2 linked regions of the Oryzias latipes genome follow. The protein of the gene in region 2 binds, or shares a complex with, the protein of the main gene of each other region. Links are inferred from orthologs where the notes say so. Each region holds a gene or a part of one and is shown on either strand. Other genes may lie near its edges. The genes, in order: prpf38a and ik.

Region 1 (3,347 bases), on a different chromosome or scaffold from region 2:
TCTTTCCACCGACAAACGAAGTGCATGCATCATGCTAACGAATCCTTTCTGTTTCTACATGTGCACTTTTCAATAAAGATTTTTCAAATAGAAGTGTTGAACAACAGTACCTGGCGCGACCGCTAGAGGTCTCCAAAAACACGCAAAAAGATTTAAAACACATTCATAAACACTATAACTTTCACTCATAACAGAACAGACTGACATGAGCTGGAAAAAAAAACTTTTTCCATGGGATTGATATAATATTCTAAATTTTTTACAACAGTTTTGGTATTTTATATTCTTTAAGGAACAATTATCAAAAACCAAAGAAAAAAATAACCAATATATTTAAATCTGTGTAAAGATACTAGTTATAAAGATATTGGTTTCAAGTTTTTGGCAATACTTTGTGTAACCAGATGCTTCAGTATTTAGTAAAATGTTTGTTTTTAATTTTAAAGAGTTTTTTAAATGTCCATCATAAGAGGCAGTTAATATTAGATGTATAGAAGAAATAAAGATGTAAGTACTGACATCTGAGTAGGTTTAGTTGCTGTTGAATTCATTGGTATCGAAGGAAAACCAAAAATTGGGGAGGACAACCAAGTTTACTTGCCTCGGACAACCATTTTTTCCCCCTTATTTCTAACACTGTTGGCCATCCAATCACCTTCACCCTGTTCTTCCGAAATGCAGCAGTAGCTTCAGGAGTGTGTTTTGGATCATTGTTGTGTTGGAAAAGTGCTCCTTGACCAAGTGCATAAAGTGATGGCAGCATCTTCTCCTTTAGTATAGAGCAGTACATTGTTGAGTTCATGATGCCATCAATGAAATGCAGCTCCCCGACACCAGCAGCCCCACATCAGCACACTGCCACCACCATGTTTCACTGTAGGCACCATGCATTTTTCTTTGAAATTCTCACTTCAGCAACACCATAGTTTTAAAACCATTAGTTCCAAAAAGGGGGATCTTTGTCTCATCACTTCAGAGTATTGAGGCCTTTATCTTTTTTAGCTAATTCTAGACGTGCTTTTTTGTGCACGGGCTTTGGGAAAGGCTTCTTTCGTGGACAATAACCATGCGTGCCATTCCTCTGCAGCGTGCGCCGGATGGTGTCACGGGAAACGGTCACTCCAGTTTGGCGTTCTACTGCTTTAGCTAACTGCAGTGAACTACAGTGGCGATTTTCTTCAACCTTTCTCATCAGAAGACGCTCCTGTTCAGATGTTAGCTTCTGTTGACGGCCTGGACGTCTCTGTAAGATGGTTGCACTTCCATCTTTCTTAAATTTTTAGATTACGATCCAAAAAGCCCTTCCCATTTCATGCTGTCTCCGATAGCTACCCATGGAAAAGAAATGTCACAATATCTGAGAAAGGACAGGCTTTTCTTTGGTTAAATGCTCTTTTCTAGCCACCTCTGTGCTGTACACGTCTTAAATGAATCAGTAGACTCACTTGTGGTTGAATGCCTGATAATTAGAATTCTGTAGTCTTAAGTTTGGCTTTTCTCCTAAGACTCTGACTGGGGTGTACTCCTTTTTACAACGTGGGCGTGACCTAATTTGTTAGGTCAAAAAACAAAAACACACGTTTTTGTGTGCAACTTAAAATATCTGGTTTGCAATCAATGGTCCACCTGTGTAGAAAAATGTTAATTCCAAAAGAACACTGAAGGTTTTCGGACAAATGTAGTGGGGTGTCCTCATTTATGCTGAGCACTGTACATGAACGACATAAGATCTGAGACAACACCCACCGTCTGGGTGAGCGGCTGCGTCTGTAACGTGGCGACGGTGAGCGGCGAGGTCTGTCGTTGTCACGGTAACTCCGCCTGTGAGGTTCGGGGGAGTGCAGTCGCTCTGGCTGTGGGCACGGAAAGCAAACACGGAGTTATAACTCCTGCAATGATATTCGGCCAAACCAAGAGATCAACACATCATCAAAGGCCGTTACCTTTTCGTCCTCCTCATCTTCTTCCTCACTGCTTTCCACTTCATCCAGGTCTTCCTCCAAAGCGCTGACCCGAGGGTCCAGCATCTCTGCCTCCTCCAGGACCTGCCTCCTCTGTGACACACAGGAAAGGATACGATGACTTTATGGAGGAAAGGGGTCACTTGTTTGTTTTTACTCAAAAATTCTCAAAGACAAAACTGTTGTTACATCTTTGTTCATTGTTATTTGTTACTGGATTGGCCGTCACGGGACATACGGCATGACACACAAGCGCCATTACTACACATTGAGTCTTCACTTGTTTGGTGAAGAAACGACGAGGTCCAAAGTCCGCAAAGAATTACAAACGGGGACACGATGTATTGCAATGAACCACAAAAATGATGACAACAAAATAATTTATTACAAAATAATAAAGGAAACACATTTCAAAGGTTAGTGCTCGCATTTTAATAGAGAGAAATCAGGCTGGGAAGCGTGAGGTGCAAGTAGCATTGATGTTTATTTTTAATCAATGTTTGATTATTTTATCTTTTAATTTATTGTTTGTGTGTTAGCCTGGGGGCGGTGCTGGCAGTGCAGACTCTTCCTGCCCCTTCGACTGTTCTCCACTTAATGATGTCACAATGTGAGGACCCGCTCGTTTTCGTGGGTTAGGAGGCGCCGGTGCTCAGAATGCAGATTTTTAGAGGAATACCCAGAAATGCGTAAACGGATCAAAACACCGCTTTGGGGTTTATAGTGAGAAATAAACATTACAATACACTTAAAAGCTCAAAAACCTGATTTTGAATGGTGTAAGCCTTTTAATGAAAAACAAAATCCAAATGGTTACGAATATGATTTGAAACCGATTAAAGTAAATATAAAAACACAAAAAAATTCCTCTTTCAGACACATTTCTCGGTAACTGTGTAGAAAAACTATTTGCCCTAATTTCATTTCTATCCAATGCTTTCCCCATGAACTAAAACATAAATTTGAGACAGACTACAGAGCTTTCGGAAAATATAGACACCCCCCCCAAAAAAAACTGGTCCAGTAGCTTCAATAAAATGTATAACTGACAGTTTTTTTCTTTTAAAGATTACAAATTTAAAATGCACTATTTAAAAGATAAAACAAGTATGACATTCTAAATCTACAACTGATAGTTGTACATTACTGTACAACCAATTATGAGTCAAAGGGGGCTTCTGGGAAGTTACCCACCTGAAGTCGAGGAAGGATGATGTCACACACTCTCTCTGCGTGAAGAAGTTCATCTATGAACTCGTCGACGTGCATCAGCTCAAACTCTGCATCAAAAACCAGAAAAATCCATCAACCTAACAGAGCTTCATGAAGGCTTACATGTGTCACTCCTTGTCCAGGTCTGGATCCACATGTCAGAGTCCGCTCAAA
Region 2 (4,583 bases):
GGAACATCAGGAAACAGGAACATCAGGAAACACAGGAACATTAGGAAATACAGACAGGAACATCCTTTTGCTGCAGCTGTCTGCAGTGTCATGTTCTGCGCTCTGGTACTCACGCCTCAGCAGTGGGTCCAACGGCTCGGTAGTTGGCCGTAGTGCTGATTAGCTCCGTCTCCTCATAGTCCTTGTTGACGCCGTCCCGCCTCTCTCGCGCTCGGTCACGGTACTTCTCAGCAAGCTCGCGCTCTCGCTCCATCTCCTGCTGTCGCAGTTTAGCATAGTAGCTGCAGGTGGACAAGCATCGATCATCAATACTCGTGATAAATTACAGATGATGGATCAAGTGAGCAGACAGGGGAGTCAAAGTGAGGAAACGGTCTTACAACCAAACTGAACACAGTTCCAGCCTTCCTCCTCATTCGTCTACAGCAGGGGTCGGGAACCTTTTTGGCCGAGAGAGCCATAAACGCCACATATTTTTAAATCTAATTTCAAAAGAGACATACAATAATGTAGTGTCCCTTTCCCAACTGAGGCACGGAGACTTAACCTCTTTTAAAGTTCTTTATTCTGGTTACTATAGACCGCAACAAACGCCGTACAATTAATTCAGCAACTCCTGAATCTCTCCCGCCGAGACGAGAGCGCTTCTCCCAACTTTGTATTCCCCTACTCCCGCTCCAGCCCGCCCATTTCCCTTATTTGGCCCATAGCTGAACCCCATTGGTCCAAACTACCTAACAACAGGCTGAGTGACAGAACCGAGAGCCAATCAGATCTCTGCATGATGCGTTTAGTGAACTCCTCCAGAACTTTTAACGCGGCCCAACAGCCAAGTTAAACTCTGTCCGCGACAATATGTTTAAATCTAAATATACAAATAAATGTGTGCATTTAATGTAATTTCAACATTTTTAAAGTACAATAAGTCTGTGGATTATTTTGAATAACATTGATATCCTGTTGCTAATAAATGATGAGTATTTCTCGTAGTAGTTTTGCTGATGGTCTAGTCTGGTTATGTGGGGAGTTTCTGCTTCATGCAGGCGTTGAGACTTTAAACGTGATCGTAGGTCTGAATGTTCTTTAGATGTGAGACAGACTGATCACATGCAGACACGGAGTTAAACACACACTCACACTGCAGTGAGTGACGGGCAGCGGGTTTTACGTTTTTACAATCCCTGCGCGATTCACCTTCTGGCCGTGCCCCCCCCCCCACTCTCTGCTTTCTTCCTCACACATCCCGTCCCCGCTAATGCGCGCTCATTCTCAGAGACGGGAACGCGCAGTTTTAGGCACGTCAATTCACAGGTTTCCGGCTGGTGCAAACTCTGTGAAATAATAGATAATAGTAAACTGATAGTTTTCTCTCCAAGCACCGCTACTACGGCATCGCATCGCGCCCGAGAAGGACTGGACTAATGAAAAAAAAAAAGTATAATTAAAGATTTGTCTGCGAGCTACATGTGACCATCAAAAGAGCCATATATGGCTCGCGAGCCATAGGTTCCCGACCCCTGGTCTACAGTGTGGCTGCTCACCTCTTCTTTTTCCTCCTTCGTGCTGCAGGGTCCTCATCTTCATTGTAGTCTTTGGGCATCCTAGAAGAAACACAGGTGAGTGTGTCTGTAGGAAGAACAGAACAACACCTGATCCTTTACTCACTCATGGTGTCTGGACTTGGTGGGCGGGGCAGTTGCAGGTGCACTCCGTGGCGTCATGAGCAACTTTCTGAAGTCATCATTGGTCAGTTTGGACCTGAGGATGCAGATCAGTGTTCACAGAGTTGGACAACACGTGCAGTCAGCAGCACAAGGTAGTTTAAGGGTGGAGGAAACTCACTGAGCAGCACTTCTGTGGTCGTCCACTTCGTGGCCCTCAGGGGCCAGGGGGTTGGAGTAACTCTCAGCTGCAACATAAAGGATGGTAGTGAGCAGATGGATAAAGGGTCAATTTTACCTAAAAAACAATTCACCCAAGCTAACAGTCACTTGAACTTCACGTGGAGTAAAGCTGTAGAAAGTCATTTGACCCCTCAACCAAAGTGAATTAAACTGCTCCACTATTTAATACTGACGTCTACTGGTATCTGTGGAAGACCAGCTCGTTTGGGAGATGTTTTTATATTAAACAACACCTGAGTAGAGAGAGAGTTAAGGTAATATGGATGACGAAAACATAGGTGGTGGTGGGGGAAACAATCATAAAGCAACAAGATGCTGGAGGATTATCATCATTATTGTCTGATGTAAATGTTAGTCAAAAGGGGCGGCGCCTGTCCACACACATACTCAAGTGTCACAAACATACATGTTGGCTCCAAAAATACAATAATGTCAACATGTACTTAACACAACTACAGTTTACACGTACACATGCACACAAACCAACACATGTAAAGCATTTCATTCTGTCACGCATACTATTGTGCAAAGGTGAGCTGACATCTGTGCTCAGGCGGGTGTTTATGTTGTGCTGAGGTGGATGATGAATGCAAAAAGAGGGAGATTGCCCGGCTGTCCCCAAAACAAGACCCCTACCAGTGGTAGTGTAATTCACATAAATCTCGTTGAATTAAAGCCGTAAAACACAATGCTTAAGAATCTGGAATGAGCTCTAGTAATATTTTCAACGCCAATCATTAGTGAGTTATCAGTAAAGAAAAACTGTGTTTGTGTTTTATGTAGTTGTTAAGCATTTTCCGAAACGCAAAAAAGATACCCGGATCTTAGTGGTCATTTTAGTTCGTGATACGTCTACATTGAAATGTCCGGACCGGGACCCCGCGCTGAGGAATCGTGGAGTTTATTTTCTTTACACAGTATTAACCGGATGTTTTCCCATCGCTGCTAAAGGCTAGCTAGCATGCTAACACTCAGCTTTGACTTACTCTCAGGCATCTTTACGGACAACTGCTTCTGTCCTGTAGGAAGACGGGACTCAGGTCCGGCCCGGTTCGCTCAAAGTTAGCAGTCTAATCTGGCTACTGTTCCTTTTTTCTGCGGACTTTCGTCCTTGTTTTTCCCAACTGTTCCGCAAAGCTGCTGCTTCCGTCCGGTTTGGAAAAAGGCTACAGGTTCACTGCAGATGCTCTATCGTCCCCTGCCGGGCTGGAGGGAGAGGAAATGTGACTGAGGAGGGGAATCTCTTTTACTCAAAGAGAAAGTATACATATGCACCTCCTTACATGCTTGCATACACATTGTTCATAAGCAAAATATTGGTCTTATACATATTATATATATATATTTACTACAGAACAGCATCTTTGTTTGCAGCGTCGTAAGTACGCCAGCGCCATCTGCCGGGCGTTCTACACACTACAGTTAGCTAAAATACGGATGAAATAGTCAACGTTTAGAACCAACTAATTTGTCAACTCTACTGCTTTTCCCCCTTTAATTATCACGAAGTTTAAAGGATTAAATGCTTCAAGTATAAGAGCCAACGTATACATAAAAATTCCGCTTAGAAAACTATATTGACAAACCAGCTTGTGTAAGACTCTACCGAAACACTACACTGACCCCTGCTGGTCAGGAGAGCCTCTGCAGCTAAAGGCTCTCCAGGACCCACTGGAGGTTCTGTCCGTGGAGGTTTGTTTGAATTTCCGATTAGAAGGGAAGGATTGTCTCTGACTGAAATATCCCATAATCCACCAGTTTCTGTGGATAAACTGTTGCAGAAACACAGCAGAACTGAACTTACTAGATTGGTTGGGTTGGAGATTTCACCATTTTTTAAACCATTTTTTACAAAAGGCAGATTTATGTTCTCCATCATGTGTTTATAGATTTGCCACCTCTGCCCCAGAGCAGTTGTGGCTACATCAGTAGCTTACCATCACCAGGTATGAATGAGGAGGGAAAGAATAATTGTAAGAACTTTGAGCGTCTGGAAGAGCGCAGATAAATACATTATTATTGTTATTATTAATACTTCATTAGATATTTTTTATCATGTCTTATTTCTCTTTGTAGAAAGACTACAAGAATTTTCCATTTTCTGCATGTAGTTTGCATGTTCTCCCCATGCATGCGTGGGTTTTCTCCGGGGACTCCAGCTTCCATTGACAATGAATGAAATTGTGCAATTTAGATTTACGATAACAAATGTGTCTAATGGAAACACAATTGAAAAAAACTCACATTTAATGAAAAAATATTTGGGCTTTTGAGGTGAATCGAAACTTAAATATTTAGGAAAAATGCAATGGAAACAATTTTTTCTAATTATATGACTCAAATAGTAATGGCAATGTGCATCTTGGTAGGAACTGGCTGCATTGGACACTGTACAGTAGGCGCCACAAGAAGTCCAACAGCATCAGAGATCATCAAAAGTTGAGCTCGTCATTTGTTAGTGTTGGATCCACTGCTCCTCTGTAAAATCACAAACCACCATTTCACAAAATGTCTTCATCCGTAGTCAAGTAAGGAGCTCGTCACTCCATGGCCTGGATAAGATATCAACGTCTCCTTTGATAGATGATGATGAGCGCCAGTGCCGTGGTAGAAATGTGACTGTATCTGTTATAAATCAAAGTAATGTTCACATCTATAACCATGTCTTGGAATGACTTA

What was found.
Region 1: ik (region 2) and prpf38a share a complex: the UniProt entries of both Homo sapiens proteins name them as parts of the spliceosome B complex. The link is inferred for Oryzias latipes from reciprocal best matches to the Homo sapiens genes IK and PRPF38A.

What each region holds. Positions count from the first base shown.
Region 1 is NC_019862.2:23,723,231-23,726,577, forward strand, and holds part of prpf38a (pre-mRNA-splicing factor 38A), read right to left. Parts: intron 3,242-3,347; coding exon 3,156-3,241; intron 2,055-3,155; coding exon 1,944-2,054; intron 1,854-1,943; coding exon 1,747-1,853; intron 1-1,746. UniProt on the Homo sapiens protein: Involved in pre-mRNA splicing as a component of the spliceosome.
Region 2 is NC_019872.2:23,309,638-23,314,220, forward strand, and holds the start of ik (protein Red), read right to left. Parts: upstream 3,106-4,583; 5' UTR 2,901-3,105; coding exon 2,891-2,900; intron 1,910-2,890; coding exon 1,843-1,909; intron 1,759-1,842; coding exon 1,666-1,758; intron 1,602-1,665; coding exon 1,542-1,601; intron 282-1,541; coding exon 114-281; intron 1-113. UniProt on the Homo sapiens protein: Involved in pre-mRNA splicing as a component of the spliceosome. Auxiliary spliceosomal protein that regulates selection of alternative splice sites in a small set of target pre-mRNA species. Required for normal mitotic cell cycle progression.